Linked DNA regions of Oryctolagus cuniculus. The protein of the gene in region 1 binds, or shares a complex with, the protein of each later gene. Links are inferred from orthologs where the notes say so. Each region holds a gene or a part of one and is shown in the gene's direction. Other genes may lie near its edges. The genes, in order: LEPR and LEP.

The links.
Region 2: the proteins of LEPR (region 1) and LEP are in contact, whole or in part, in a crystal structure (PDB 7Z3R), measured with the Mus musculus proteins. The link is inferred for Oryctolagus cuniculus from reciprocal best matches to the Homo sapiens genes LEPR and LEP. Residues at the interface, in NP_666258.2 of Mus musculus: Tyr439, Leu440, Thr441, Arg466, Ser468, Leu469, Tyr470, Gln499, Pro500, Ile501, Phe502, Leu503, Leu504, Ser505, Val560, Phe561, Glu563, Asn564; in NP_032519.1 of Mus musculus: Lys26, Val27, Asp30, Thr33, Leu34, Lys36, Thr37, Thr40, Arg41, Gln92, Gln96, Asn99, Asp100, Glu102, Asn103, Asp106, Leu107, Leu110.

What each region holds. Positions count from the first base shown.
Region 1 is NC_091438.1:107,181,813-107,198,242, reverse strand, and holds the start of LEPR (leptin receptor), read left to right. Parts: upstream 1-9,374; 5' UTR 9,375-9,505; intron 9,506-16,430. UniProt on the Homo sapiens protein: Receptor for hormone LEP/leptin. On ligand binding, mediates LEP central and peripheral effects through the activation of different signaling pathways such as JAK2/STAT3 and MAPK cascade/FOS.
Region 2 is NC_091434.1:164,683,349-164,698,705, forward strand, and holds the end of LEP (leptin), read left to right. Parts: intron 1-4,857; 5' UTR 4,858-4,885; coding exon 4,886-5,029; intron 5,030-6,480; coding exon 6,481-6,840; 3' UTR 6,841-9,903; downstream 9,904-15,357. UniProt on the Homo sapiens protein: Key player in the regulation of energy balance and body weight control. Once released into the circulation, has central and peripheral effects by binding LEPR, found in many tissues, which results in the activation of several major signaling pathways.

The sequences.
Region 1 (16,430 bases):
TGGTACCTATTACCTATGGGTAAAGACTGGGTATAAATTACCCTCCTTACAGACAACACAAGCCAAAAAGTCCTTTACCAAGCACAGAAGTTAGAAATGCTGCTTCTGGCTTGTTTAATGCATTTTTGGACAAAATCAAAACCAAATGATTTAATGAAGGACGACTATACATTATGGCTTTTTTTGCAAAAGGAATATCATTTGCTTCGACAGGTGAATGTATGGCATGGGGGGCAGAGTTTCTGGGAAGTATCATCTTCCTTTGTCATTTGCTGGAGGCGGGGTGTGTGTGTGTGTGTTGGGGTGAGGGTGGCAGACATAAAAGGCCAAGCCACATTGGAAAACAAAGTGGCAGTCTAAAATACAGTTAATCCCACACTGACCATGCAACTCAGAAATCTTACTTTTAGGGATGTACCCAAGTGGCAGTGTGATTAAGATATCCCTGGGCTGGGGCCAGCGCCGTGACTCACTTGGTTAATCCTCTGCCTACGGTGCCAGCATCCCATATGGGTGCTGGGTTCTAGTCCTGGCTGCTCCTCTTCCAGTCCAGCTCTCTGCTGTGGCCCAGGAAAGCAGTGGAGGATGGTCCACATGCTTGGGCTCCTGCACCTGCATGGGAGACCAGGAGGAAGCACCTGGCTCCTGGCTTCGGATGGGTGTAGTTCCAGCCATTGTGGCCATTTCGGGGGGTGAACCAATGGAAGGAAGACCTTTCTGTCTCTCTCTCACTCACTGTCTAATTCTATCTGTCAAAAAAAATATCCCTGGGCACTAGCTGTAATTTTATCTTCCTCCTTAAAGTCTTTTAACGTGAAAATATGAATGGATCTGTGGGTAAGCTCATTCCCAAGATCAATGAATACATTTCCCCACCCCGTGGAGCTTTCAGTGATTACGTAAATTCTAGAGTTTTCTTTAGCCACAAATCTTTAAATATATTAGCAGTTTTAAGTAAAGATCTGGGCCTGTGCTGTGGTATAATAGGTTAAGTCTCTGCCTGTGGTGCTGGCATCCCATATGGGCACTGAATGGTGTCCTGGCTGCTCCTCTTCTGATGCTGCTGTCTGCTAGTAGTCTTGGAAGGCAGTGGAAGATGGCCCAAGTGCTTGGATTCCTGCACCCACATGGGTGACCTGGAAGAAGCTCCTGGCTCCTGGCTTCGGATCAGCCCAACTCCATCCACTGAGGCCATTTGGGGAATGAACCAGTGGGTGGAAAACCTTTCTCTCTCTCTGTAACTCTGATTCTCAAATAAATAAATAAATAAATCTTTTTTAAAATAAGCAACTTTAGTTATAAAGATACTGAATTTATGGATTTTTTAAATGTTACATTCTTGCAAATAAGCTTAAGGAAATTTCAACTTACAAATAGAACATTTCAGAGTTGATGTGGTGCAGCACATTAAGCCACCTTGGGCAAACATTTTATCCCATATCAGAGTGCTGGTTAGAGTCCCATTTACCCTGTTTCTGATCCAACTTCCTGCTAATATTCTTGGGAAGGCAGTGGAAGATGGTCTAAATACTTGGGTCTTTGCCACCGTGTGGGAGACCAGGATGGATTTCATGGCTCCTGGCTTTGGCTTGGCTCAGATCTAGCTGTTGTAACCTGTTGAGGAGTCCAGCACAGGACAGAGCATCTCTCTCTCTGTCTCCTTCTTTCTCTCTTTTTTCCCTCTCCCTCTCTCTCTGCCTTTCAAATAAGTAAGTAAGTAAATAAATAAATAATTTTTAATAAAATAGAAGACTTCATCAATTGCTCACTGTTTCAAACTAACCTGTAACTGGCTGGCGCCGCGGCTCACTAGGCTAATCCTCCGCCTTGCGGCGCCAGCACACCGGGTTCTAGTCCTGGTTGGGGCGCCGGATTCTGTCCCAGTTGCCCCTCTTCCAGGCCAGCTCTCTGCTGTGGCCAGGGAGTGTAGTGGAGGATGGCCCAAGTCCTTGGGGCCTGCACCCCATGGGAGACCAGGAGAAGCACCTGGCTCCTGCCATCGGATCAGCGCGCTGCGCCGGCCGCGGCGGCCGTTGGAGGGTGAACCAATGGCAAAGGAAGACCTTTCTCTCTGTTTCTCTCTCTCACTGTCCACTCTGCCTGTCAAAAAAATAAAAAATAAAAAAAAAAAATAAAAATAAAACAAATTAACCTGTAACTCTTTAACAGGCAAAATGCAACATTTTAACGACACAAAGTATCAAAGAAGCATATTTGATACAGAACCATAAATATTATGGACTTGATTCTTTTCAATATTTCTTTGCTTAATTTTAATCTTTCTGGGGATAAACCTCAGTTCTGCAATTTCAAGAGTGCATAGAATTGCCAGCTTTTAAATATAAGCCATCACAACAGGGACATAGTCATATTTCCTGGTGGTTTTAATATGTATTTCCCTAATGATTTATGAATGATAATGTTGAGAATCTTTTTATGGACTTTTTTTTTTTTTTTGACAGGCAGAGTGGACAGTGAGAGAGAGAGAGAGACAGAGATAAAGGTCTTCCTTTGCCGTTGGTTCACCCTCCAATGACCTCTGCGGCCAGTGCACTGCGCTGATCCGAAGGCAGGAGCCAGGTGCTTCTCCTGGTCTCCCATGGGGTGCAGGCCCCAAGGACTTGGGCCATCCTCCACTACACTCCCTGGCCACAGCAGAGAGCTGGCCTGGAAGAGGGGCAACCGGGACAGAATCCGGCGCCCTGACCGGGACTAGAACCCGGTGTGCCGGCGCTGCAAGGTGGAGGATTAGCCTAGTGAGCCGCGGCGCCGGCCGGGGGGGATCACTTCTAATTACAAAAGGAAGGGAAATTGACTTATAATGTAGCAGGTCACTTCACAACTATCAGTATATCAATCTTGGACAATAATTTAAGAAAACAGTAATTGGAATATTCTCTGGGGGTCATGGGACAAATACACAGCCCTCACTGAAAGGAGCTTATAGTCTACTCAGGGATATGGACAGTTAAGTAGACAGAGCCACCACAGAGGCAGACTGGAGAACAATGGCCCAGTAACCACTTGGTCAAGCAATGAGAGGAATTCTATCTAAGTCTCCTCTTTTTTCTCTTCCTGTATAAAATATTATAGCTCATATATTAGGATTATTCCCACCGTTTTCCCTTGCCCATTTTCTGCAACGTCACTCTATTTTTTAAAGTTTCATTCTATGTTTCTGTTCTACTCAATATTTATAAGGACCTGGACCTTGAGGGCTGGAGTCTTTTTAATTTATTTTTTATTTTTTGACAGATAGAGTTAGACATGGGAGAGAGACAGAGAGAAAGGTCTTCCTTCCGTTGGTTCACCCCCCAAATGGCCGCTACGGCTGGCGCTGCACCTATCTGACGCCAGGAGTCAGGTGCCTCTCTTGGTCTCCCATGTGGGTGCAGGGGCCCAAGCACTTGGGCCATCCTCCACTGCCCTCCCGGGCCACAGCACAGAGCTGGACTGGAAGAGGAGCAACCCAGACTAGAACCCGGAGCCCATATGGGATGCCGGTGCCGCAGGCGGAGGATTAACCAAGTGAGCCATGGTGCTGGCCCGGGCTGGAGTCTTAAAACAACTACATGATCATCAGGAGATAGGCAGAATGAATTGCTTATGTTCCTCTGCTCTTGGGATTTCAATCAATTAAAAGAAGTACAGCAGGTGCAATTTTTCTAGAACTTCTCTGTTGTCCTCTGTAGAGACATTCATGTCAACTTTTCAGAAGTTAGAAATTTTGATGAAAGTATAAAGCATTGATGAAATAAATCATCAAGGACACAAAAAATGGAAGGATACTTCTTGTTCACGGATTGGAAGGCTTACTATCCTTAATATGTCTATACTGCCTAAAGCAATCTACAGATTAAATGCAATCCCTATCAAAATACTAATGACATTCTTCACAGAATTAGAAAAAACAGTCCTACAATTCATATGGAATCACAAAAGACCCAGAATAGCCAAAGCAATCCTGAGAAAAAAAGATATCAAACTAGAGTCATTACAGTACCTGACTTCAAAGCATACTGCAAAGCTATAGCAATTGAAAAAGAATGGTATTGGAATAAAAACTGACATAGAGATCAATGGAACAGAGTAGAGAGCTCACAAACTAATCAACATACATACAACTAACTGATTTTTGACAAAAGTGCCCAGATCATACATTGGTGATGGATAATCTCTTCAATAAATGGTGTTGGGAAAACTGATGTATATATGTAGAAGAATGTAATTAGATCCCTACCTCTCACCATATACAAAAATCAACCCAAGTTGGATTAAAGCTCTAAATTTAAGACCCGAGACTGTGAAGTTGCTGGAAGAAAAAGTAGGGGAAACCCTTTAATATATTGATGTAAGTGATGACTTCTTGGATAAGACCCCCAAAGTACAGGCAGCAAAAGCAAAACTAGACAAATTGGATTATACAAAACTCAGAAGCTTCTGCAGAGCAAGGGAGACAACAGTAGAGTGAGAAACATCCAGCAGAATAGGAAAACACATTTACAAGCTAATTATCTGGCAAAGGATTAACATCCAAAATATCAGAAAATCAAAAAATTTACCAGAACAACAACAACAAACCCATACTGATTCAGTGAGGAAATGGGCACAAGACCACAATAGACAACACTCAAGAAATACAAACAACCAAGAAATATATGAAAAGATGCACCACATCACTAGCTATCAGAGAAATGCAAATCAAACGTATAATGAGATATCACCTCATCCCTATCAGAATGGTTGTTATCCAAAAGAAAGAGTAACGCACGCTGGCAAGGATGTAGAGAATGAGGAACTGTTACCCGCGGTTGGTGGGAATGTAAAGTAGTGCAGCTACTGTGGAGAACAGTAAGGAAGTCTCTTAAAAAACTAGAAATAGACTTGCATGTTACCCAGCAATCCCAGTACTTGGTGTATACTCAAAAGACTTGAACACAATGTATCAAAGAGGTACCTGCACCACCAAGTTTACAGCAGCACTGTTCACAATAGCCAAAATATGGAATCACCCATAGTGTCCATCATCAGATGAATAAAGAAAATGTGAATATACACAATGGAATATTATTCAGCTACACAAGAGAATGAAATTCTACCATTTGCATCAAATGGATGCAAGTGAAGGACTTCATGTTGGGCGAAATAAGCTGGACACAGAAAGACAAATACAGCATGTTCTCCCTTGTATGTGGGAGCTAAAATTAAAAAGAAAATTAAAAAAAGAAATGCTTGTGTATCAGTATTGCAGCAAATATAGTCTTGTAAAACTTGTTTTATATCTTTGTCAAACCAATGGTTAAAATAATGGAAATTCTATTTTTTGAACATTGGTAACAGTTTAGGAAGTTTTTGTTGCCATTATACACACCCGAACTGAGAATAAGTGCCTGAGGCTGTCCCTGGACGTTTGGAACAGTGTAGAGCAGAGCTGGAAGGTGGCAGTGATGAGAGGCATGAGCAAAGGCCACGGATTAGAACGTCACCTGGTTGTTTGGGGGACTGGGTAATTGGGGTAAGGGTTCATGGAGAGGAATGGTTACTGGGCTAGAAAGTTAGGTGGAGCCAGATTAAGATGGGCCTGGGAATTTGGAGTTTATGCTGTTGGCAACAGATGACCAATCAGCTTCTCTTGAAGGAACATAGGGCAGGAATCACAAGTTGCAGTGAGACATTTGACATTTACACCTAAGCTTTCTTTCCAGAAAGAGCATGGCAGACTAAATTAGTTAAGTATATTAATGCATTGGGTCAAGTTAGAATGAATGTTTTCTGGTGAATGATCAGTAGTATAATAGGTAACAGTGTGTGTGGGTGGGTGGGTGGGTGTGATATACATACATAATTTTTCTAGCTGGGTTAAGCTTACCTGTCTGGGCATAGTAAGAAGAGTTCCCAGGGGCACCCCATCTTTACAGCAATCAGCAAACACTGTAGCTATCCTCATTCTCCTTCCTCCCTCAGTGCCTCTTCACTCTCCAAGGATTATTGGACCGATCCAGAGCTGCCGAAATGGAGAAACCCAGGTGCGATATATGCACACTGCACACAGCTGTGATATTTGACCTGAGATAAAGCCAGCGTCAACAGGAAACCTTTTAAAGCGAGACATACGGCCAACACAATGAGAAGGGTTATTCTGGGAGGAAATTTCCCCCTTTATGCCTGGTTCTCTTTCCTTAGGCACACTGGCATCCTTCGCCTTAAATTCTAGTCTGTGGTTTTTATTTGAAACTCTCCAATCCCACTGGGCTACTAGTTGAGCATACTCCTCCCTAAACAATAGCACTGTACTTCAAAATGTCACTGTGCTAATGTTGGCATTTTAATACCTCAAGAGAGGCTGGAAAAATGACTCCTTGTCCACCACCATCTCCAAGGAGATCAAATATCACCTCAGGATTTACAGTAAGCCCCTCTGGTAAATGCACAAAAATCAGAGGCCAAGAAATTGGCAGCCACACATTTTAAGTAGGATTTTATTATTTGTTGGCTCTTCTTTACTAACAGTGAGTTGAAGTTAGTACTTTTCTGACTCCCATCTGTTGGTTCTAGTTCTGCCAATGAGGGCAGCTGAGAGCATTTTATATATGAAAACTTATAGTTATATATTATATGAAAGAGCATTTATTAATAGTAGCAGCTATTAGTATCCTTGACAGAATTGTAAATGAATAGTGTAAATGTCTAGCGGGCCCCTTCCCAATCCCTGCTGCCTTCCCAAATAAGCAAAGGGACATTGGAATTTAAGGGATATAGTAGTGATGATGTACTACTGATAATCCAGTGTTGTTTGTGACTTTGCTGATAAGATTTATAATTAAAATCTCTTATGTATATATGATAAGAATTAAAATTTATATGAAAGATAAACAATGAATATTCCCAGTATCCAAATGAGTGTTTTCTCTATCCAATAATTGGCATGGTGGGGCAGTTCTATCTGATTTCAAAAATGCCTAAAATATTTTATAATAAATGGATTATTTGAAGTCAAGGATTATTTGAAGTCAAGTACAGTGAATAAAGCAGATAGTCATTTGATGGCAGCGTGGTTCCTACAGAGGAACTCCAAAAGGTGTCCTTATTAGTGACAGTAAGGAACAACACTCATGGTGGTCGATAAACAAGTAATGCAGGCATATTTTATAATGAAACTTCCCTTGCTGATTTCATCATTCCTAATTTGCCTCCACATAAGGAGAAGCAGACTTAGGGTAGGATGCATTTATTTGCTCCATAATTGTTTCTTGAGAATGAGAACATTTTCTGGGCTGGCCACCAGGAGTAAGATGGAGAACACCGTGGGATTGATCCCTGTCTTCATAACTGTACAGTGATAGGTTTTACCATCCAGATATGGAAAAAAACAAAAGCAAATCTGTAAGGCAAATGATTGGAAATGTTATCCACATTTTCTAGTTAAATTTTTACTTTTTCCCAAAACATCATCTTGACAACAGTGTAGTCCTGTGAAATATTCGAGAATGCGGCAATGAATCAGTGGCAGGTCTTGTGCCTTTACAATGTTTGTGTTGTTCATGACCTTTGTGCTTGAATGCTTTTGTCCACGTGGCCAGTAAAAAAAAAAAAAAAAAAAAAAGAAAAGATCTGATTGACCTGTTTTCCCAAAAGACCTTTGACTGAATCTTTGATGGACAAACAGAGAATCATTTTTTCAAGAAGGATCTACTCACAAACAAAATTCTATATGCCATGCTTTTAAAGAGATGAGGACCAAAGATGAAAAAAAAAAAAAGCTGAAGTGAGGGACTTAGTTGAATATTTTTTTAACTTTTTGCTTGTAGAGGTGATGTAACATATTAGGAATTTAACTTGAATTCTTTTTTTTAAAGATTTATTTATTTATTTGAAAGGAAGAGTTACAGAGAATAGAGGGAGAGAGAGAGAGAGAGAGGGAGAAAGAGAGGTCTTCCCTCTGCTGGTTTACTCCTCAGATGGCTGCAAAGGCTGGAACTGTGCTGATCCAAAGCCAAGAACCAGAAGCTTCTTCTGGGTCTCCCATGTGAGTGCAGGGGCCCAAGTACCTGTGCCATCTTCTGCTGCTTTCTCAGGCCATAGCAGAGCACTGGAACAGAAGTGGAGAAGCCAGGACTCGAACTGGTGCCCATATGGGATGCCAGCACCGCAGGCAGCGACTCTACCTGCTACACCACGTTGCCGCCCCTAATTGAATTTTTTTCTCTGATTTAATGACCTAAAAAGTTAGACAGCGCTAATTCATTCAGCAAATACTTATTGAGCACTTACCATGTGCCAAATCCTGCATTCGGTTATATTGTTAGGAAAACAATATAAAACTGTAATTTTATACTTTAGTTAGAAGCAAATTTATAACCACATAGGTAAACACAAAACTACACATTTTGAGATGAAGAAGGAAAATGGTAGAACAGAGGGATCTAATGCAGACTGCAAGGTAGTCAGGATAGGTTTGAAGAAGTGACATCTTTAAGCAAAGACCTAAAGGCTGAGCAGAAAACGGCCTGGTCAGGGGTTAGGAGAGGTGGGTATAGGCCTGAAGAGTGGCAGGGGGCACAGAGCACACTTTGACTTTCATACATTGCATGTTGTGAAACTCTTACAAAGGCATGTAGGATCTTTGTCCTTAGTGTGCTGTACATTGAGATTTAATGCTATAACTAGTACTCAAACAGTATTTTTCACTTTATGTTTCTGTGTGGGAGCAAACTGTTGAAATCTTTACTTAATGTATGCTAAACTGATCTTCTGTATATAAAGAGAATTGAAAATGAATCTTGATGTGAATGGAAGGGGAGAGGGAGTGGGAAAGGGGGAGGGTTGCGGGTGGGAGGGACGTTATGGGGGGGAAGCCATTGTAATCCATAAGCTGTACTTTGGAAATTTATATTCATTAAATAAAAGTTTGAAAGCAAAAAAAAAAAAAAAAAAAAAAGAAAAGAAAATCTTACAAAGGCTGTAATACAAATGTAGCATCCTGTGAAATTAGAAAAATCTCATAATTTTACCTGTCTGAGCAGAAATGTGTCAAGAGGAGAAGCTCAGAGAATCAGATTTCATCCCTCTACAAACAGAATGCACCAAATACTTCCGTGAAGCTTGAGGTTCGTTTGCAATTACTCTTTCATCCTTCCAGAAGAATCTCCAAATGTTGGTAACACAGCACAACTCCCCGCTCCCTGCCTTTGTAAATAAATACACGACGCTAAAATCTGTTTCAAAAGCTAAAGCAAAGAGCAACTCAGGTCTCCAGAACATCATGTAAATATGAGGCATGATCAATCTTTCTTTAAAAAAAAAACAAGGGAGAAAATCATTCACCAAAGACGTGTCAGCGTGAGGTAGTAAAACAGAGCAGCTCAGGCCAGATGCTGGAATTAATAAACAGGGCTGTCATTTGCAAGAGAGAGTGGAGTGGCCAAGGACGTTAGCATGCAGTGTTTGTCCCTTCACTTTTTCCCATCCAACTACCCTGATTCCTCTGGGTCATTTAGCTCTGGCTGTAAGTAAAGATGACATATTCTTTTATTTCTTTTTTAGAGAATTAATTTTTATCTGTCTGAAAATTGTTTGCTTATTTATTTAATTTTATTTGAGAGAGAGAGATATTTAGACAAAGATGTTCCATTTGCTCGTTCATTTCCCAAATGTCTACAACAGCTACGGTTGTGCCAGACTGAAACCAGCTGCACAGAACTCAATCCAAATCTCCTCTGTGGGTGACAGGGACCCAGCTATTTCAGCCACCATCTGCCGCCTCCCAGGGTGTGCATAAGAAGGAAGATTGAATAGGAAGTGGAGCTGAGATTGCAATGTGAGTGTTGCCAAGAGTCTCGAGTCTTCTGTTAATAGCATTTGCTTCTAAACAATTACAGCAGCCTATTGATTAATATATGAAGTTAGGTTGACTTTACCCCTAGTTTCAGCATTGACTAGCTATCACAATCCAGGCATTCCTATTCTCAAATTATCAGTTTTCTCATCTATAGCATAAGGAAGATGGTGTTGATGATGTACAAATTTTTTAGAATTGTGAGAATTAACACAATGCATTTAGAATGTTTAGTGAGGCTGGCGCTATGGCACAGTAGGTTATGCCTGTGGCCCCGGCATCCCATGTTGGTGCTGGTTCTAGTTCCAGCTGCTCCTCTTCTGATCCCACTCTCTGCTATGGCCTGGGAAAGCAGTAGAAGATGGCCCAAGTCCTTGGGCCCCTGCAACCATGTAGGAGACCTGGAAGAAGCTCCTGGCTCCTGGCTTCAGATTGGCCCAGCTCTGGTAGTTGTGGCCATCTGAGGAGTGAACCAGTAGATGGAAGAACTTTCTCTCCATCTCACTGTCTGTAACTCTATCTCTCAAATAAATAAAGAAAGAAAATCTTCAAAAAACATAGAGTGCTTAGTATGATGTCTGGCCCTGTGTTTAATAAATGGTATTATTATTTCTTTATTTGCAGTAAACTAAACTAAAACAAGTATGACAGTTATCCAGATTTCCCTATATTCTGTGTTCATAAATTTGAATTTTATATAAAAATTAAGAAATTTAAAAATCTGTGCAAAATTTTATTATGGCTAAATTTCAGGCAATAATTCCAGCCAGAATTCTTGGTTCTGTCATTCAATATTTTTTTTTTTAAGGGAAAGGGTTTATTGGGAACACCCTACAGACTGGAGTGAAGGGGCGGCGAAGGAAAAAGAGAAGGAGACTGTAAGAGAGAGAGACAGAGAGGAGGAGAGGAGACAAGAGAGTGCAGGAGAGAAGGGCCAAGAGAGCACGTGTTCAGGAACAGGCCCTTTTAAAACTCTGCCTGAGGGCAGGCAGGGAAGCAGGAGCAGCGAATCCCATTAGGATGGGGGTGGAGCCTGGCTCAGGTAGCTGGGCCATGTGGCCACCTGGCTAAAACTGTGCCAGTTTCCTAACATTCCCCCCTTTTGTTTTTTTTATAAAGCAGGATTTGTATGGGGTTACATTAGTCCCAAAAGTCCAGGAGGGGTAGAGGGACGATGATCTGTCTTTAGAGCTACTTCCTGCTGACATGGGGCGATGTCTCAAGCTGCTGTCTCCTGGTTGGGGAGTATATTCCCGTAGCAGCATTTGGTTGACCACCTGATTGCTGAAGGCCTTCGTTTGTTCCATTATCACCTGCTATAAACACTTAGACACTGCAGTATAGAAGACAGGGTGAGAATAGTAACCAATGATCCTAAGAGTAGCATTAACCAGGTAATAAGAGGATTTTATAGAGAGGAAATGGAGGGGGTCTTTGGACCCTTGTGGGGACAGTTTGATGGATGTGGCTTAAACTGATTCCAACCAAGACTGGGAAAAAAGCCACTTAACTTTTACAGGTAGTGGGGTTTGTCTGTAGAGAAATTTTGAACAATCATACAACATTAAGTGGGGGAGAGGACCATTAGTACACACAGGTTGGGCAGGTTGGGAGTAGAGCCATTGGTGGTGATGTAGAGGTTATGATTACAAAGGAATGAAACCCAAGCAGGCTAGACAGGGTCTAGAACAAAGGACAGAGTCATTATTAGAGGAGCTAAGAAAGGTTCTGTCTAAGCTACATAAGTTTTCTGATTGAGAGGCAAATAGAACCTGACAGAAGGGGCTCGATAATAATCTGGTGGGCTTTAGGCCTTGTAAATTAAGAGGCCCAGACCTATCTCTTTACATAGGGTACATCCTAAGGGAGGTGTGAACCTCCTTGGGGAAGGCACCCTGTTGACTTCCATTACCTAGCTGGCCAGGGAGGAGAGCTGGCCAGGTAAAGGCAGGTGGCAACTCCAACAGGAAATATACAGCTCTGCCTGCAATGTTACTGACCCTACTTGGCCATTTCCTCAGTTGCAGTGGTCACTTTGAAAGCTGGGCTGAGTGAAGGGCTTTTCAGCTTAGAGCCAATAAGATCTGTGGCTCTGACCTGGGTGTCCTTCGACTCCAGGGCAGTTCCATTTCCACTGATCCAACTCTTGGCAGAGCTGCCAGGGCTCTTCACAAGCTGACTTCTGCTGAAGCCCAGGCTTACCACATTGAAAGCCGCTGCAATGGACTGGCCTGTTGGGTCTCCTTGAGGGCAGATCACTGTACAGAGCAGCCATTAACAGGCCTGCCACCCATTGCTTCTGATGCCTAATGTCCAATCATCATGCCTGATGTCCAATGCCTTCTATAAATTTTAAGAATACATATATTTGGAAACATTTCTTAAATATCTAATATGATGTAGCTTGTTTAACCAGCAAATTTCAGCACAAGCATATAAAATGTTTCTAGTTTTTTCTACCAACACATTTAAAACATATGATACAGATATTCAGGTCACACGAATTAAAATGTATCTTTGAATTATTTTAGCTGTTTAAATTTATGGACAATCTTATCTATAAGCCAATTAAAATAAAATTCTTAGTAAATTTTCCCATGTAGACATATAATATGTATACACACACAACATAATAGATAGAACAATAAAACAGTTTTAATAGCTTTTTTAAAAATCTAACTCCTGTTTGTAAATTACCAATTGATTTGAATTACTTTTGTTTTAGTAACCTCAGCTAACCATACGTTCTCACAGTTGGTACCTTTAATATATTATTGGCTTCATCTGTTTACAGAGTCATCCCAAAGTACTGAATACAATACAAGTGGCTGGAAAAAGTTCATCAAACCTATAGGAAGACAGCTAAACACAGAACCAACAATGCTTTAGTTTTATGAGCAACAAATCTGATATACCAAACTGTGGATGACAAAAGACTTTAAGTTGCCACATTTAAAATTATAAATTCATTAACCAACAAGAGGCACTTGCTTACTGCACACAGTATTTCTGAAAGCAGGATTTTACAAAGCATGTAACTCTTTTAGGCCTCTGGGGCTTTCTCATTAAGATAACCATTATGTCTAGTAACACAAGATTATTAGACTTTTTAATTCTCAGACATTTGTATTAGTGCCATTTTATATTATAGAAACTTAAAATTTAGCACCACTTCACATCTTGACAGTACTTCTAATATAGTCCAAATAGCCCGAACTGGAAAAACCAAAGTCAAAAATTTACTGGAAATTTCAGAGTCCAAATTCTTTGAAACTTTGATTTTTGATTTTTTGAATGCCTGTCAAGAATATCAAGAAGGCTCAAAATCCAAAATATCTGGTTGAAGTAAGATTCTTTAACATCATAACATAATATAGACCAAATTGGATCATTGTTACAAGGTAATTATTTAAATGTCTGAAAATAAGCACATATTTAAATAAATTATAGCTCTTAATAAAAATTTCAGCTGTTTTTAAACAATTAGAATTTAACAGACATCAAGAGAATATAATAATTACTTTAACACATTGCTTTAACAGAGAATCAGATCTTAATTTTATGTCAAAGAGAAACAGATGAGTATATTTGTGATGTTTTCCATCTGCCAATGTCCTTGATTTACATTTTGAGATAAGCTGTTAAAAATCTTCAAATTAAGATTAAGGTAATGCATCAAGTTTTAGCCTGAGTTACTTTAAACAGTGTTGAACTATTTTCATAGACAGTTTGTAAACTAATCCGAATAGTTTTTTTATAGAATATAACATGTTGAGTATACAAAAGTTTTACCCAATTTAAATTAGCAGTTACACCTAAATGACTTAAGATGCTGATATCTCATATATCTGAATTTAATTAAAATTAAAATTGCATTCATCTAAGACAAGTACTAATTACCCATTGCTGTTTCATTGAGTACTGATTACCCAGAAACCTGTTAAAATAAATTGCAAAAGAAATTCAGCATTTTACAAAGCAATAGTTTCAAAGGTAGTGGTATTCCTAGATTTAAAGAAAAATTACAGTGAGCCAGGTCCACACAGGAAATCTGATTTTTCTGTCTGGCTTGCTCATGATAAAACAAAAGAGCCATCAGAATGGTGGGATACCTAATTTGTTTCTCAATAAGCAGGGAGCCCAAAGGATGGGACTACCATTCCCTTGCTATTCTTATGGTAAGACTGGGACAAGAGAGGGACAAAAGACCAGTTGGAGACCATGGAGACTGCTATTCCCAGAGATAGTAGACTTTGGGCCAGGACTGGTTCTAAGGTGGGAGGGGGAGATATCATGAGAATGGGGGTAGGAGCTACGGAGGAAGTACACGTGGGCAGAGAATGGCTTTGAGAAATAGTTGAGCAAGGGGCTTCAGATAGGACAGAAGAGGTTGACACCACCCCCTGGAATTCAGCAGGAGGGGGAGGTGAGGACACAGCTGCCACAAGGGGGATAATGGCGCTGGAACTTCAGCCGCTGAGGCCTCAGGAGGCGGCTGAGCAGGTGCCTGTAGATTGGAGCAATAAGGAAGTTCATCTGCAGGATGACAGGATCAGGGCAGAAGAAAGGATTTTTTGCTCAGGCTTCTGCCCCCTAGTGCGAATCTTGGAGACCAGAAGGACTTGAGCGGGAGAGCAAGAAGTACATAGGGAAAGTTCAGTTCGAAGATTAGGAAAAGGCTTGAACATATAGAATTTCCTTCCATTTTCCCAAATGCTCACAGAAGTGTTAAAGGTCCTGAATGATATCAGGGTCAAAGGTACCGTGGAGGGGCCATCCCGGTTGACCGTCAAGGTCATACTTGGGCCACACCCGATTACAGAGAAAGATTAGGTGTCTCTGCTTGAGGGCTGGGGCCAATTTGAGAGGGACCATATTACTTAAAAGGCAACCAAGAGGAGAATCAGATGGAATGCGGGAGAAATTTCCCATGGCGACTCAGTAGGTCAGATCGGTGGACAGCAAGTGTCCTTGAAGCCCTGGCAGTCTGACTAAGAGAAGAATGGGAGCAGAAGGCAGGGTCGTCACCCAAGTGCCCACTGGAGCCCAGGGCCTAGCCTGTAAAGAGGCGAACAGAGATGGAGTCGTCACTCGCACCCACTGTTGCCTGGACACAGTGTCCGTAGAGGCTAAAGGCCTTAAGTAGAAGTAAGAGTGGTGGCTAGAGTCCAGTGCTACGACCTTTACGAGAGTATCCAACAGTAGACCACCACTCAAATAGCAGTCGCCGTGAGGAATTTTCGTTCCGCATCTTACCTCAAAATTTGGAAGGCCGATGTGTGGATGGAGATTGCAGACCATTCTGTGGCTTGGAAAGAGTTCCAGAGGTGTGCTTTGTGACCAGCAGAAATCCAGGACCCCAGAGCAGTGGAGGATGCTGGATTACCAATATAAGGCTATCTGAGTCACGGCACCAATGTTATATCTTAATGTTAGCCGTTGCAAAGCACACCGGACACCGGAGTAAGGGAAAGGGTTTATTGGGAACACCCTACAGACCGGAGTGAAGGGGCTGCGAAGGAAAAAAGAGAAGGAGACTGTAAGAGAGAGAGACAGAGAGGAGGAGAGGAGACAGAGAGTGCAGGAGAGATCTGTCATTCAATATTTTATTAGACCTTTCCAGTTTTGTGTCATTTGTCGAATAAACATAATTAATTAAACATAATTTCAATATCCCCAAGTGATTAAACAGAGAAGTCAGTATTCCCATTTGTAGGCACTGTTACCAGGGCTGCATGTGTGTTTCATGGCTTCATTTTGAATTTCCCCTGTGCTTTTCTGTGAGTATCCTACACTTCTTTCATTCCCTAATGATCCCTTGAGTTTTAAGCTTCCCCTGACCTATGATTCTGTAGATTGCCTGATATTGACATAACTGAATCTATTAGCTAACTTCTATAATAGAAACCAGGATAGCTGGGGCTTGGCAATAGCTTTTCCATTAATGTATTTAAGCTTTCTGCATGACTATATTTTTATACTTGTAAAATTGAGCAAATATTTATCATTTCCTACCTTTTAATGATATTGTGAAGATGGATTTAAAAATATACAGGAACATTGTGTCCTTTTTAAAAAAACATTTATTTATTAATTTGGGAGGCAGAATTACAGAGACAGAGAAGGAGCGACAGAGGGGGAGAGATCTTCCACTCTCTGGTTCACTTCCTATCAAATTGGCTTTGGGCCAGGCCAAAGCCAGAGGCCAGGAGCTTCTTCAGGGTCTCCCACAAGGGTATAGGGGCCCAAGGACTTTGGCTATCTTCTGCTGCTTTCCCAGGTGCATTAGCAGGGAGCTGAATCAGAAGTGGAGCAGGGGGCCAGTGCTGTGGCACAGCGGGTTAAAGCACTGGCCTGCAGTGCTGGCATCCCATATGGGAGCCGGTTTGAGTCCCAGCTGCTCCACTTCTGATCCAACTCTCTGCTATGTCCTGGGAAAGCAGTAGAATATGGTCCATGTCCTTGAGGTCCTGCACCCATGTGGGAGACCAGGAGGAAGTTACTGGTTCCTGGCTTCGGATCAGCTCAGCTCTGGCCCTTGCTGTCATTTGGGGAGTGAACCAACGGATGGAAGACCTCTCTCTCTCTTTGAATC
Region 2 (15,357 bases), on another chromosome or scaffold:
GCTGACAGCAGCCTTTCTGCCCACCCAGCCGCGGCCACTGTCCTCAGTGGTGGTGCCCCCAGCGCTCAGGGCCTCCTCTACACCCCTTTCTTGGGCAGTGTCCCCCCCCTTCAGCCTGTCCCCAGGCCTCCTCTCACCTCTCTCCATCCTCCTGGTCCCCCGGAATGCAAACACCTGCTGGCTCCCTGGCCTTCACAGCCCCGCCCTGCCGGGATCCTTCATCTCCTCGACCCTCGGGGCTGTCCAGCGTCTCCCAGACCCTCACAAACCCACTTGCTTCCGATTCTCAGGGCCTTTGGCAAATGCTGCCTCTTCTATGGTGCCTCCCTGGTTCCTTCTCCAGAAATCGTGGTGATGAGAGCTGACAGGTGTTGAGCTTGGCCATATGCCAGGCATAGAGTCAATACCTTTTGTGCTTTATCTCATTCTTGCCATAGAGCAGCCACAGGTGGGGATTCTGATTTGTATTATCCCCAATGGACAGCTAGGGAAACTGAGTCTCGGAGAGATTAGCTGACTCTTCCAAGGTCCTGTACCCTGACTCAAACACAATTCTGTTGCATTCTAGCAGGTTGATTTCCTTCCTGGGTCCCTCATGGAATTTTACTGCTTAAATGTTCTTCCTTCCATTATAGTTCATTATGTAAATTTCTTTTTCTTTTCTTTTTTTTTTTTTTTGGAGCTAGAGTGTGTGTGTGTGTAAAGAGTTATTTATTTGAAAGACAGAGTTACAGAGAGAGAGGTCTTCCATCTGCTGGTTCACTCCCCCAAATGGTTGCAATGGTGGAGCTGGGCCAACCCGAAGCCAGGAGCTTCTTCCAGGTCTCCCACTCTGGTGTCAGAGCCTGCGCACATGGGCTGTCCTCCTCTGCTGCTTTCCCAGGCACATTAGGGAAGCTGGATGGGAAGTGGAGGAGCCAGGGCTTGAACCAGCACACATACGGGATGCCAGCACTACAGGTGGTTGGTTAACCCACTCCATCACAGCGCCAGCTCCCTTCAAGCAAATTCTGAGACTGATTGCTTAAGAACTCTGCTTTGGCTTTTGCTTTTATTTTTGCAGACAATCTATATATGTATACGTAGTTGGCAAAGTCAGATGATGTGCCCCTCTACCCAGGCTTCCAAGGACAAGACCTGGCCTCTGACCCGATCTGCCCCAGACCTGCCTCCCGCTTCCCAGGGACTTTCCGTCCATCTCTGCGCCTGGTCTAGGATGGACGGTTGCTGCATGGCAGCTGCTGGCCCTAAGCACGTGCTAAGTCCTCGTGCTCCATGGGGCTGTGTTTGCTGTCTTGAGTCATGGCTCCGGTCCCTGGTCCCTAAACCCTGACCTGCTAGCCAGCCCCAGGCCATCATCGGGCCCCATGGGGACTGAGATGCAGGAGAACCGAGGCAGACTGCTGTCCACTCCCCCCTGCTGGCCCTAGCAGGGGACATTAGCTCAGTCAGCATAAAGCGTGGCTGTGTTGAGCAGAGTTCCAATAGGACAGCGGCTCTCGAGGCGAAGGCTGTGTGTCTCGCACAGTACAGCACGGCACGGCACGCACCCAGTCAGGCAGGCTGACTCAGCGGCCACTTCTCCATTCCTGTGATTGATGTCCATGTGGGCTGCTGGAGGTTACCAGTGTGAGGGACGGGCTGCCCAAGCTGTTTGTCCATTCAGGTATCAGAGGGGACTGTCGTTATGTGACCGTGACTAGGACCGGCGCTAATCTGGCAAGAGATGCACTTGGGAAGCAAGGGGTCATGAACACGTAAGTCTTAGGAAAGGAAGTGGAGTAGCCAGGACTCGAACCAGTGCCCTTATGGGATGCCGGCACTGCAGGCCGGGGCTTTAACCTGTCGTGCCACAGCGCCGGCCAGTGCTGCCATTTAAAGAGAGCAAACAACACAAAGCATTCTCCCAAACTACTTAGTATTTTTCACAGTGGAAGTTGACGCAGAGGGTGTGACTTCACAGTCTCAGCCTAGAGAGGATGTGAGCTGCCAAGCCCCGTGTTCCCCAGAGCCAGCCTGGATGAGGGATTGGGGTGATTTGTAATTGGAGAAGCAGGTGGGGCGCAGGGAGCCCACCAGCCTGGCTGCCCAGGAGGCCCCGAGTCCAGATCCTGGATGCTCCGTGTGGCTGTCTGCCACTGGGGAGACTGATTCGGCTTCCTGAGCCTCCTTTATCTCTCCTCTGTAAAACTGAAATCGAAACGCTTACCATTGTTCAAACGTGGCGACTAAAGCTCCATACGCCGTGTTTATGTGTGTTACGTGGCCAGAAAATGCATCAAACGGATGTTGCCACCTATGGACGGAAAATGTAGCACCTGCTTCCTCTGGGTCCAGAGGCGGGAGACCGTGGAAAGCCGGGACGAGCTTTCGCCATCTCCGGCTCCTCCGTCCCCTTATTTGCTAGCATCTTGGTTTTGTTTCAGGCTCGCGCACGGGCTGCAGACTCACGCGCACTCAGCTTGATTGCCTTTTGCCTCGCGTGTCTCATTAAGTTCCAGCAAGGAACTGCACATTTTTACTTTCGTGATTCGCGCCTCCTTGGCTTTGACAGTTTAACGCGCCGGGTGCACGTGTGGTTCTTCCCACCTCGGACCTCGCCCCAGCTGGCTGCTCAGCTGCCTGTGGCCACCACCGTCTGCCCTCCCCGACCGCTGCCCTGGCTTTAAAGCCCAGCTCAGGTGACACTTTTTCCAGGGAGCCCTGTTTGCTGTCCCGTGATAACTCTTTTTTCCCGCGTGGGAACGGCTTGTCTGTGTCCCCTGGGATGCGCTAACTGAGCTGGCATCATGGCACAGTGGTTTAAGCTGTCCCTTGAGATGTCACATTCCATACTGGACGGAACGCTTCCCATCCGGCTTCCTGCTAATGCACACTCGGGGACACAGCAGATGATGGCTCAAGGACTTGAATCCCTGCCACTTAAGAGGGAGACCCAGAAACTGAGTTCCTGGCTCCTGGTTTCAGTCTGAGCCCCAGCTCTTGGGGAGTGAACCAGCAGATGGAATAAGTCTCTCTCTTCCCTCTCCTTCTGTGTCTCCCTCTCCCCCTACCTCTTTCCCTCCCCCTCCTTCCCTCTCCTTGCCTTTTAACATATATATGAGCCTTTGGGAGTCGAGAGCACCTGCTGTCCACTGCATCCTTGGCGCCCAGTGATGCCTCTGACATATGCCTCACCAGATGGTTCTAAAGTGCTGGCTGGGTGAGAAAGCAGGTGAGAAAGGCCAGGGCCGAGAGAGCAGGGCTGCCGTGAGGGCCTTGGACAGGACAAGGCAGCCCCGTCCTCGCCAACAGCAGGCGGTGAGAGCACATTTCTCAGCGCCATGGAGCCCCTTCACGTGCATTTTTTTCCAAAGAAAACCTTTTATTTAATGAGTATAAATTTCATAAGTACAACTTCAGGAATACAATGATTCTTCCCACCATACCCGCCCTCCCACCCACACTCCCACCCCACCTCCTCCTCCCTCTCCCATTCCCAGTCCATTCTCCATGAAGATTCATTTTCAATTAACTTTATACACAGATGACCAGCTGTATACTAGGTAAAGATTTCAACAATTTGCACACACACACACACACACACACACAACTGTTTGAAAATAAGTTTTACTCTCATAATACAAGTTAACTCTCATAATACAACTCCTTGAGGACAGAGGTCCTGCATGGGGAGTTAGTGCACAGTGACCCCTGTTGTTAATTTAACCATTAACACTCTTACATATGACGTCAGTGATCGTGTGCATTTTACCTAAATTGATGCTCATAGAAGCCTGGAGATGGGCCCATCACAGGGATGAGGGTGGAGTTTTTAGTCACTCTGTGATGTGCCTAAAGCTGTTCTTTAAAGATTTATTCATTTGAAAGGCAGGAGATGGCCGGCGCCGCGGCTCACTAGGCTAATCCTCCGCCTGTAGCGCCGGCACACCGGGTTCTAGTCCCGGTCGGGGCGCCAGATTCTGTCCCGGTTGCTCCTCTTCCAGTCCAGCTCTCTGCTGTGACCCGGGAGTGCAGTGGAGGATGGCCCAGGTCCTTGGGCCCTGTACCTGCATGGGAGACCAGGAGGAGCACCTGGCTCCTGGCTTCGGATCAAGACGGTGCACCAGCACACTGACCACAGCGGCCATTAGAGGGTGAACCAACGGAAAAAGGAAGACCTTTCTCTCTCTCTCTCTCTCTGTCCACTCTGCCTGTCAAAAAGAAAAGAAAAAGAAAAGAAAGGCAGGAGAGACGGAGAGATCTTCCATCCACAGGTTCATGTTCATTCTCCAAATGGCTGTAATGGCCTGGGCTGGGCCAGGCTGAAGCCAGGAGCCAGGAACCCCATCTGGGTCTCCCACAAGGGTGGCGGGGGCCCAGATACTTGGGCTAACTTCCTCTGCCTTCTGAGGCGCATTAGCAGGGAACTGGATTGGAAGCCTAACATTCAGATGTGGGACGCCAGTGTCACTGGCAGTGGCCCCCAACGCTGTCCCCAGTGTGCCTGATGTTATGCAGTGTGAGTGGTTAGATTCAAACCAGACATTAACAGCTTTTCCCTTTGCCTTGAAGCAACCCTGAAGTCTGTGCTGTCACCACCAAGTGCATTTGGTCACAGTCGGGCTGGCTGCTCTGGGGGCCTGCGGGACACCTCGCCGTGGTTTTATGGACCGGACAAGAATCTTCTTCCAGAAGGGACGCATTTCATTAATAGACATCTAGATAAAGGCTCAGCTTTGGTGCAGAGGAGAAAGTAGCCAGAGTACAAAGCAGATCTCAGTTCATCCGCGCTAGGCAGTGTGGCTGGTAGTGGGCAGATGGGCACAGTCTGAGCTACTGGCCTCTGTAATGGGTGGTGGTTCCTTCTGCCTTCAGGCCCGAGAAACACATCCTGGGAAGGAAAATGCGGTGTGGACCCCTCTGCCGACTCCTGTGGCTGTGGCCCTGTCTGTCCTGTGTTCCAGCTGTGCCCATGCGGAAAGTCCAGGATGACACCAAGACCCTCATCAAAACCATTGTCACCAGGATCAGTGACATCTCACACACGGTACAGAGGCTCCGGGGACCAAGCAGGACCGTGGCCGGAGAGCACCCTCCGAATGCCAGCGCCTCCTGGCAGTTGGGGGAGGTTTAAAAGCATGGGGCTCCTGTTCAGTCTCTCTGCCTGCTGGGCTTCGGCAGTGAGCGAGTGGTTCTGATGCTAACCCACTCCAAGGGCGCTGAGGTTTGCCAGGTGTTTCTGTGAACGGATCGCAGGAATCTGATATCACAAGGACGCGTAAGGCAAGCTGGGTGCAGAGGTTAACGGAGGGACATATGGTGACACCCTCAGGCTTTGCAACCTTTGCTCTTCCTGCTGCACGAACCACCGCCTCTGCCTGTCCCTTCTCCCGTGGGCTTGCCCGCTTCCTTCAGTCCTGGTGCCTGGGGCTAGAGCAGCCTCCAAACCTCTGTCACCGGGATTCTCGCAGGGGCAGTTGGACTAGCTCTGCAAGCTTCTCTCTGCCCTTTCACTCCTGCATTTCAAGGCCACGTGCAAGAGCAGGGCGACCCTGGTTCCCATCGGCCCATGCGGCTGCACCTGGCTTTCCCTGGGCTTTCCTCTGGGGTCCACAGGCCTAGCCCTTCGGCTGTTGCCTCGAGGAGATTTGTCTGTGGAGTTAGGAAGACTGGCTGTGAGTCTTCCACATCTGCTGTCTGTCTGAGATCTTCAGCTAGCTCCAAAACGCCCTTAAGCTCTGGCGTGGTCATCTGCATGATGGCGATCAGATCATCTTCCCAAGGTGATTATCAGCCACTTACATGACCACTGGCACATGGTCACTGTAGATGTTTGAAGTGACTGTGGGTGGCCAGGAGGTGCCAGAGGGGCAGAAGCAGGGACAGCTCAGCTCCAGACAGAATCTTGGGCATTTCATAGAGAGAAACCCTTAAGTCTCCTGCTTTCAAAACAGTCCCTCCACAAGGCCGTCCCAATGTAGCTGGTGACAAGACTGAGTGTCAGGCCTTGAGGACTGGTAGAACCCCCCGGCAGCCAGAGCCACCGGAGCCGAGGAGGGAGGGGGGTCCCCATCAGGGGTGGCCTGGACCCCTAAGGAGGTGGGTGCATGAGAACCTGAATGGGAGCCTGCAGAGGGAGGGAGGGAATGAGGGCAGCAGCGGCTGGGGGTGCTGACTGAGGAACCCAGATGCTTGCGAAGAGGCTAAACTCAACCAGAAACATGGAGATGCGGCTGATTCTTGCGCAGGGGCCATTTGGAGAAAGGAATGACCAGAGAAGGCCGGTCTGGAAGTGGAGGAAGCAGTGGGTGGGAAGGGTGGGCATCCAGGAAGCCAGGGGTCCCTGGGCACAGGAAGAGGGCACCTGGGCCAGGTGGTGAGGAGGGAGGCAGAGGTGACGCGGAGAAGGGGTCTTCAGGCTCTGGGGAGCAGAGAGCCTTTCAGATCCACGTCTCTCACGCTTGCTCAGCGCTTGTTCTGCGTCTTCTTCCCACGCAGCAGTCGGTCTCCTCCAGACAGAGGGTCGTCGGTTTGGACTTCATCCCTGGCCTCCACCCCAACCTGAGCTTGTCCACAATGGACCAGACGTTGGCCATCTACCAACAGATCCTCGCCAGTCTGCCGTCCCGAAATGTGATCCAAATAGCCAACGACCTGGAGAACCTCCGGGACCTTCTGCACCTGCTGGCCTCGTCCAAAAGCTGCCCTCTGCCCCGAGCCAGTGGCTTGGAGACCCTGGAGGGCCTGGGAGGCGTCCTGGAGGCGTCACTCTACTCCACGGAGGTGGTGGCCCTGAGCAGGCTGCAGGGGTTCCTGCAGGCAATGCTGCAGCAGCTGGACCTGGGCCCTGGGTGCTGAGCCCCTGGGGGCTGCTCTTCCCCCAAGGACCACGCTGAGGAAAGAATCCTGCTCCTAGGGTCCCCAGGACAAGAGAGCCGCATGTGGACGTCCCTTCTCAGCACTCTCTCCGTGTCTCTCGCACTCCTCCAAGCCCTTCCAAAGCACAAGACTCCATCTGGCTTAGAACCAAAGATTGCTCTGCACACCAAGAAGGAGGGGGATGCCCCTTCCAGCAAAGAGCAGGCTTCAGTCATCAGCAAGAGCCATGCTGTCTCTCTCTCTCTCTCTCTCTCTCTCTCTCTCTCTCTCTCCCCATCCTCCAATGGGATCCAGAGAGCTTCAGGCTGGGGGCGGAGCCTTTGGACCATCAGAGCAAAGCTCCCCCTGGGAATTCTGGGGAGCGGCCTGAAGGCTACATCCACACGTGGCTGGAAACGCCCAAGCAGCCGTGGTGGGGGGCACGTGTTTATTTATTACGTGTTAGATTCCGAATGGACCTGAAGCCAAGAGTCAACTTTTCCGGGCTCTCTGGGGTCAGCCAGGGCTGAGCATGCTCCTGGGCTGCGGCTTCCAGTCCCGGCGAGGGGTCTGGCCGAGGCAAACCCTTGTTCAGTGACTTGAGGGCTGGGGTTGACCGGGCAAGGGGCCACCGAGGTGGCTGTCATGTTCGGTCTCTGCTAACTGGTGTTGTGTCTACTGTGATTGGCTTCGAGTGACAGTGTTTGCAATGGCATTGCCCTGAGTGGATCTCCAAGGGCTGGGTTATTTTTAGAAGCAGGTTAATTTCGGCAGGTGTTGTGTGTAGTTGTGTGCACCTGCTGGGGGTGGGATGTGTCGGTGGGGGAGGGGAAGGGTCTAGACTGGGTTTCCTAAGTGATGCATGTTTGGTGGGCTCTTTGGATGGGGTGAGGTCGTTTCCTTATCTTCTGCAGCCACTTAAGATGGTTTTCTTGAAAATAACAAAAGAGGCCGCTCTTTGAAGGGACTTGTAAGGATTTGCACGTTCCTTTGAGGGAGGGGGCTGAAGGTGGAGGCTGCTGGCTGGGGCAGCTGTGAGCTCAGACAGCAAGAGTCCCACGCCACACCCTCCAAATGAACAGTTCACAGGTGGCCCCGCTCTGGGTTTACAGCATGGCTGTGTCCCTCTGTCCCTATCCGGGGGTTGAGTGCCAAATTATAGTTCTTGTCTGATTGGTTCATCCACAGCAAGGTCATGTTCCCTACCCATTCCATGGGGATTCTTATTCCAGTGGGAAAGGGAAATCCTTCAGCAGGTGGTCCTAAGCAGTGGGCCAGAGCGTTTGGGTGGGTGCCAGAACGCCAAGCCAGGCGTCATCCTGGCCACTGGAGGTCAGGTTCGCAAGGATGAACCAGGAGGCTTGGGTTTTTCCACCATCCTGCTGCCATGATGCTGCCGTCACACCGTGGGTGGTGGATCTGTCCAAGGAAACTTGAATCAAAGCAGTAAACCTAAAGACTGAGCACCTGCCCCGTGTTCAGCCCTGACCGGTGCTGTGAGCTAGGGGAAAGCTCACCAAATAAATGTGCAAATCCAATCCTGCCCTAAGGGACCTGACGTTCCCACGGCAAAACCCCACTTGCTGGTTGCCAAGGCGATGGTCCACCACGGCAGCCCACAAGCTGAAAGCACAGTGTGGCCCCCAGCAGGTGCCATGTGGAGTGATCCGAGAGTGGCAGTGCCCGGGGGCCCACAGGGAGCCCTGCATGTACTCTGTAGCTTGTGTAGACTTTTAGGACACTGCTGGACCTAGTGCTGTGTAGCCACATCTTTTTTTTTTTTTAAAGAGAGATTTATTTATTTATTTTTTAAACTCAGAGTTACAGGAAGAGAGGGGCAGAGAAAGAGATCTTCTGTTCGCTGGTTCACTCAGTAAGTGGCCACAACAGCCAGGGCTGAATCAGGCGAAGCCAAGAACCAGGAGCTTCTTCCAGGTCTCCCACGAAGGTGCAGGGGCCCAAGCACTTGAGCCGTCTTCTACAGCTTTCCCAGGCCATCAGCAGGAAGCTGGATTAGAAGTGGAGCAGCCGGGACTCGAACGGGCGCCCAAATGGGAGGCTGGCATCGCAGGTGTTAGTTTTACCTGCTGCGCCACAACATTGGGCCCTAACCACATCCTTTTGGAGCAGTATACCTGAAACTTTAAAAACAAGAAATGACAGGTTGAGTGTTCCTAATTCAAGATGCTTAGGACCAGAAGTGGTGCACACTGGATTTCAGAATATTTGCATATGCATAATGAGACATCTGGGGGATGGGATCCCCAGGTCCAAACACCATATTCATTCATGTTTCATATACTCTATACACATGGTCTGAAGGCAATTTTACATAATGCTTTTAATAACCGTCTTAGACAAAGCTTCATGGCGTGGCATTTTCCGCTTGTGGGATCATATCGGTAGGTGCTCGGAACATTTCAGCTTTGGGAGAATTTTGCATTTTCAAATTCAGGATGTTCGACCTGTCCCTAGGACTGTAACAGCCAACAGGTGGCAGGAGCAGGTCTGGAGCCCAGAGCGTCCCTCACCCCGGGTAACGCTCTCAGGGCAGGGGACACGGGAATCCTTTCTGTATGTGATCTTAGTCAAAAGGCTGAGAAGTGATGGGAGTGCTTTCTGGAAGAGAGACATTTTGCAGGTGCTGAGGGAGGTGAGTTCGCTGCAGGAAGGAGGTGGTTTTGTTGGACGCTTGGTGTGTGCAGGTGCATGGGTGTAGGAGACGGTGGGAGGTGCAGAAGAAAGAAGTAGGAGGGAAAAGGACATGTTGAGGGGCAGCTGAGGGCCGCAGAAGTCAGATGGTCAGACAGCTGGGACTCGCAAGTTCCGGAGCAGAGGCTGGGTGGTGGCCAGGGTGGAACCTGCCCAGAAAACCGTGACTTAGGTCATTGCTGCCTCTGCACTGGGCTGAGGCGTCTCCAGCTCTCTGCTCTCAAAACCTGGCACAGTGTGAAACTCCCCAAATGCAAGCGATTGTCTTCCTTCCTTTTTTTTCCCCCCATAATTTAAAAATGTTTGTTTTACTGAAAAATAGATATTTAAATAAATCAACTTCGCCCCCTGGTTTTCGTTTGCTGTCGCCTTTTGGGGTGTGTGGGGGCTTCAGGAGAGCTGTTTGTGTGTGACAGGGCAAGGCCTGGCTGGTCTGCAGCCATCCCTGGGGTCAGCCCCGCCCGGGCTTGGCCACAGCCAGCTGCTGGTTATTCAGGCGAAAGGATTACCCCGGCGGGCGCGCAGAGCTGGCCAGGGAGCTTGGCCTGCGCCAGAGGCGGTGAGTGGCTGCAGATCAGCCCCAGGCAGCACCAAGATACCCCCCACCTGCACCCACTAAAGTGCTCCCCCCATCCCCGCCCGCAATCAGCCAGACGGAGAGCGTGCAACCCAATCACAGACCCAGCCAGGTACAGAGGGCAGAAAAGACAGAAACCCAAGGCAAAATGACCTCAAATAAAAAGAGAATGGACTGAGCCACGTGGCCCAGAAACCCAGGCCCTGCCTTCTCTGACGGGTCTCTCCTCTGTACCTCTGTGGTGGTGCCCAGGGTCTCAGACACGCCTTTCTCATCAGTGGTGCCCATGAACCCGGTCGGCAGGGCTCTTACCAGCCAGGCCTTCATCATGTGGCCATACCTGTTGCCAAGGAGGGGTTGGGAGTGGGGAAACAATGAAACTCCTCCTTCTGCCTGAAAACTGTCTTTGGCTCTGGCCCCAGCATGCCTTCCAGAATGATCCAGAATGATCCAGAATGTGCCCCTTCCCCTCTTCATGATGGATCTTCCCACACTGGTGATCAGCGCTCCCACCTCTCCTGCACTTCCTGAGGGGTATCATCTCAGAAATGACTTGAGATGGCTGTGTACCACGCCCAGGGTTGTAGAACTGTTGAGCGCCAGAGTGGGGACTCCAGTCCCGGTCGTAGGCCCCAGCACTCCAAGTGCATCCTTAGGGACCCCCACGGGCCCCAGCCAAGGCCTGACAAGTCCAGTTGCGGCGTCTACAGGAGACAGAGCAGCCTGGGGGTGCCCAGTGCGGTACCCACCCCACATTCCCCTGCCACCTCCCAGCCCTAACTTTCTCTCTTTCTGTTTTTAAAGACTTACTTATTTACTTGAAAGGCAGAGCAACAGAGAGAGGAGGAGAGACAGAGAGAGGTCTTCCATCTACTGGCTCACTCCCTAAATGACCACAACAGTCAGGGCTGGGCCAGGCTAAAGCCTGGAGCCGGGAACTCCACCCGGGTCTCCCACAGGAGGGTGGCAGGAAGCTGGATTGGAAGCAGAGCAGCCGGGACTCCAATCGGTGTTCTGCTATGGGATGTTGGTGTCACTGGGGTGACCCCTAACTTCTCTTAAGCATGGGGGAAATGGCAGCAAAGAGGACTGCGTCTATGAGTTGGAAAAGCTAGAGTCCCTGGCCAGATCCCAGAGCACCCAGAGGATGGGGCAAAAAGGGCACTCTGAGTTAGAAGCATTCTGTTCTAGGGCCAGCAGGGTGGCCCTGCAACACTGGCATCCCGTAGGCAAGCACTGGTTCGAATCTGGGCTGCTCCATTTCTGATCTAGCTCCCTGTTAATGCTCCAGGGAAAAGCAGCAGAAGGTGGCCCAAGAGCTTGGGCCCCTGCACCCATGTGGGAGACGTGGAAGCAGCTCCGGGCTTTGGCCTGGCCCAGCCCTGGCTGTTGTGACCATTTGGGGAGTGAACCAGCGGATGAAAGATCTGTCTGTCTCCACCCTCCACCCCACCCCCACCACCACACTGTCTTTCAAATAAACTTAATAATAATAATAAAGTTATCTGTTCTGACTTTGCGTGACTTTGGATGGTATCTCTCACTGCCACTCAGATTAGCCCACGTGTTGTGCCCACAGCATCTCCTTAAATCCCGCCAGATGGATGCTTGCAATAAGGAAACAAGGGCTAAGCCAGGTTCACTCTGTGTCCTGGACCAGCCCCGCTGGCACCAGGACTGAAGCCCTGGCTCAGCACAGCCAGCTCCTGAGCCGTGGCCTCTGTCCTCACCCTGAGAGTGACGGCCAAGGGCAGGCCTGTAGGGTCCTTCTGTTCTATGAGTCCCTGAAGGTGACATCCAGGGAGAGAGGGTTGGGAGTGGCAGTGTCCAGGGGTGCAGGGCTGAGCCAGGTCTTCACCCCCAGGGCCCTAAAAAGGTGCGGGAGCCGTGATCCAGCCCAGTCGCCCACCTGCCTGCCATGGGGCGGGGCTTGGTGCCGCATGAGCCCTTGGCGGGCCATCTGGGACAGTGGAGCCGCTTTGCTTCTGAGTCTGGAACGTGGCTGAGAGCCGCGTGGGGAGACACGGAGGCCTCTGTGGAGGTGACTCCCAGGCCCTTCAGGTCCCAGATCTGCCTCTATTTCAGGGTTCTCTCGGGCTCCCCTAGGGCAGCAGCTCGCCCCTGCCAACAGCTGGCAGCACCTGGCCACACGGACCCTCCAAAGGCGTGGCTTTGCTGAGCTGGTGCAGAAGCAGAGGCGGGGCCAGCACAGCAGGCTGCCTAGCTCTGCTCACAGCACACAGCACACAGCCAAGGAGCGCACACCCCTTGTTACTCCAAAAGAGAGAGAACGGTGTACTCCAGGCCGTAGCAGTGGGGTCAGAGCCCAGAGGTGTCCCCGGAGGGGGGGGGGGCTGCCAACTTAGCCTCTCACTCCTGAGGATGATGGGATCGGGGAGGCAGAGCAAGGCAGCAAAGCCCCTGTGCCCCAGCACCCAGCCCAGACAGCGCTCAACCCTTACGCAGTTTCCGCAGCCTCTCAGCGTCATTGTGTCCACTTCACAATGAGAATGAGTCCTTGGGAAGATTTGATGCTAAAGCATTTGGGAAGATATTAGCCCAATGCCTGGCATTGCCACTACTTTTTTATTATTTGTTTATTTGAAACGAACAGTGACCAAGAGCAAAAGAGAGAGAGACAGACACACACAGAGATCTTCCACCCATACTTACTTACTTTATTTATTTATTTGAAAGGCAGAGGGTTAGAGGGAGAAGGAAAGACACACACACACACACACACTCAGAGAGAGAGAGAGAACTTTCATTATCTGCTGGTTCACTACCCAAAATGCCTGCAATGGTCAAGGCTGGGCCAAGCCGAAGTCAGGAGCCTGGAGCTCCATCCTGGTCTCTCACAAGAGTGTCAGGCGCCGAAGGACTTGGGCCCTCTTCTGCTGCATTCCAAGGCACATTAGCAGGGAGCTGGATTGGAAGCAGAGCATCAGGGACTCAAACTGGTGCTGTCATATGGGGTGCCAGCTCCCCAGTGGTGGCCTAACTGCTGGGCCACACACGGCCCACCTCTGCACTCACTGAAGCCGGGGCCTGAGCATCACTCCACTTTCCTGCGCTGGCCAGCCCTCTGACCCCAGCCCACAAGGGGCAGCCAGAAAGTGAGAGGGAGTGAGTGAGGGTCGCAGAGGAGTGAGTCTCGGCCCAAGGGGAACGGGGGTCTGCAGCGAATGCCCCAGTCTCCTGCCCTCTGCAGGTGCGACTGCAAGGTGCCTTCTCCGGTGGGACCGAGGCTGCGTGCCGGCACCAGCAAACAGGTCCGCAAGGCCCTGCCCTTCCCTCTCGCCTCGTGCTTCCCAGGGATGCCTCCCAAATAAACCTGCATGAGAATCCTCACGGCAGGCCTTGCTCTCTCGCACAGAGTCCTGAAGTAGTACAACGGCCAAGAAAACAGAGCCGAGCTCGGATGCTGAGGACTGCAAAGGGAGGTGCAGCCACGCGCGAAAACCCAAGGAGAAGCTGTGCCCGCCAGGGGAGGAAGTCACAGAGGGAGGGAAGCAGGGAATGACTGCTGAAGATCCCCTTGCCAGGGCAGCAGGCGAGGCCAGGGCGAGGCATCCACCCACCCTCCATGATCCCTTGGTGGCCAGAGGCCAGGAGCCTCCTTCCCATATGGGCAACCGTTTGTGTCTGGGCTCCGCTTCTGATCCAGCTCTCTGCTGTGGCCTGGGGAAGAAGTGGAAGATGGCCCAAGTCCTGGGGCCCCTGCGCCTTCGTGGGAGACCCGGAAGAAGCTCCTGGCTCCTGGCTTCGGTTCGACCCAGCTCTGGCCGTTGAAGCCATATGGAGAGTGAGTGAACCAGTAGATGGAAGACCTCTCTCTCTCTCACTCTCTCTCCGCCCCCCGCCTGTAACTCTTTCAAATAGATAAATAAATCTTTTTAAAAAGACAACTTTGAGATAACAACGGAAACTTGAATGTGGATTTTATTTTAGATGATGATGAACAATTCTTGTTGATTCTCTCAGCTGTGACAATGGCCCAGTGTTAATGGCTTTTAAATGCTTCCTTGGCTGTTAGTGTGTTAGAGGTGCAAACTGGCTTAGATTAGGGTGAAATGGCATGCTACCTCAAAATGCTTCAGAAAATATATATATATATATATACAACTACATATATATGTATATAAATATTAGAGCAATTCAAAAAGTTCCTGGAAAATGAAATTGAAAAGTTCAGGCATTGGTGCTGTGGCACAGTGAGTTAAACTGCTGCCATATCAGTGTACCAGTTCCAGTCCCGACTGCTCCACTTTCAATCCAGCTCCCTGCTCATGCACCTTGGAAAGCAGAGGAAGATGGCCCAAGTGCTTGTGCCCCTGCCACTGCTGTGGGAGACCAGGATGGAGTTCCAGAGTGCTGGCTTCAGCCTGGCCCAGTTGCAGCTGTTGCAGCCATTTGGACAGTAAACCAGTGGGTGGGAAGAGCTCAATCTCTCTCTCTCTCTCTCTCTCTGTCACTCTGCCTTTCAAATAAATAAATAAATATTTTTTAAAAGGATAAGTTTATTTTGGTGCATTTTGAAATCCATGCAGACAAAGGGATTCCAAAAATTTTTTGGCAACTGCATATAGTGAAAAAACTGCGCAGCTTTCAAACAACATTTTTTGTACCTAAGTAAATAAGCTTCTCTTTTAATTTCATTTTTCTGTTAGAGCTAGCTGGCAGGGATGCTGGAGTCTGTTTTATGGGGCCCTATACTTTTTTTTCCTGAGGTTTGTTTTTTTTTTTTTTTTTTTTTTTTTTTTTGAGCCAGGAGCTTCCTCCAGGTCTCCCACATGGGTACAGGGGTCCCAGCACTTGGATCATTCCCCCACTGCCTTCCCAGGAGCATGAGCAGGGAGCTGGATCGGAAGTGGTGTAGCTGAGACTCGAACTGGCACCCATCTGGGATATGGGCATTGTAGGTGGCGGCTTAACCCGCTGAGCTATAATGCCAGCCTCAGAACCCTCTACTTTTGGGTAAATTTTCCAGAATAAACACTTTGGGGAAGATGTGGCTGAGCCCAGACCCCCCCCCCACACACACACATTCTGCATCCTGGGAAAGAGGGAGGAGGAGTGATATGGGGAACTGAGGGGGAACTGAGCTGGGTTCAGCTTCACGTTGAATTCCACTGCTTGGAGCATGTCCCCAGGCGGGGGGGGGGGGGGTGCAGGCCGTCAGCGTGAGTGTGCCACAGTGAGCTGCCACAGCGATTTAGCAAATCAAA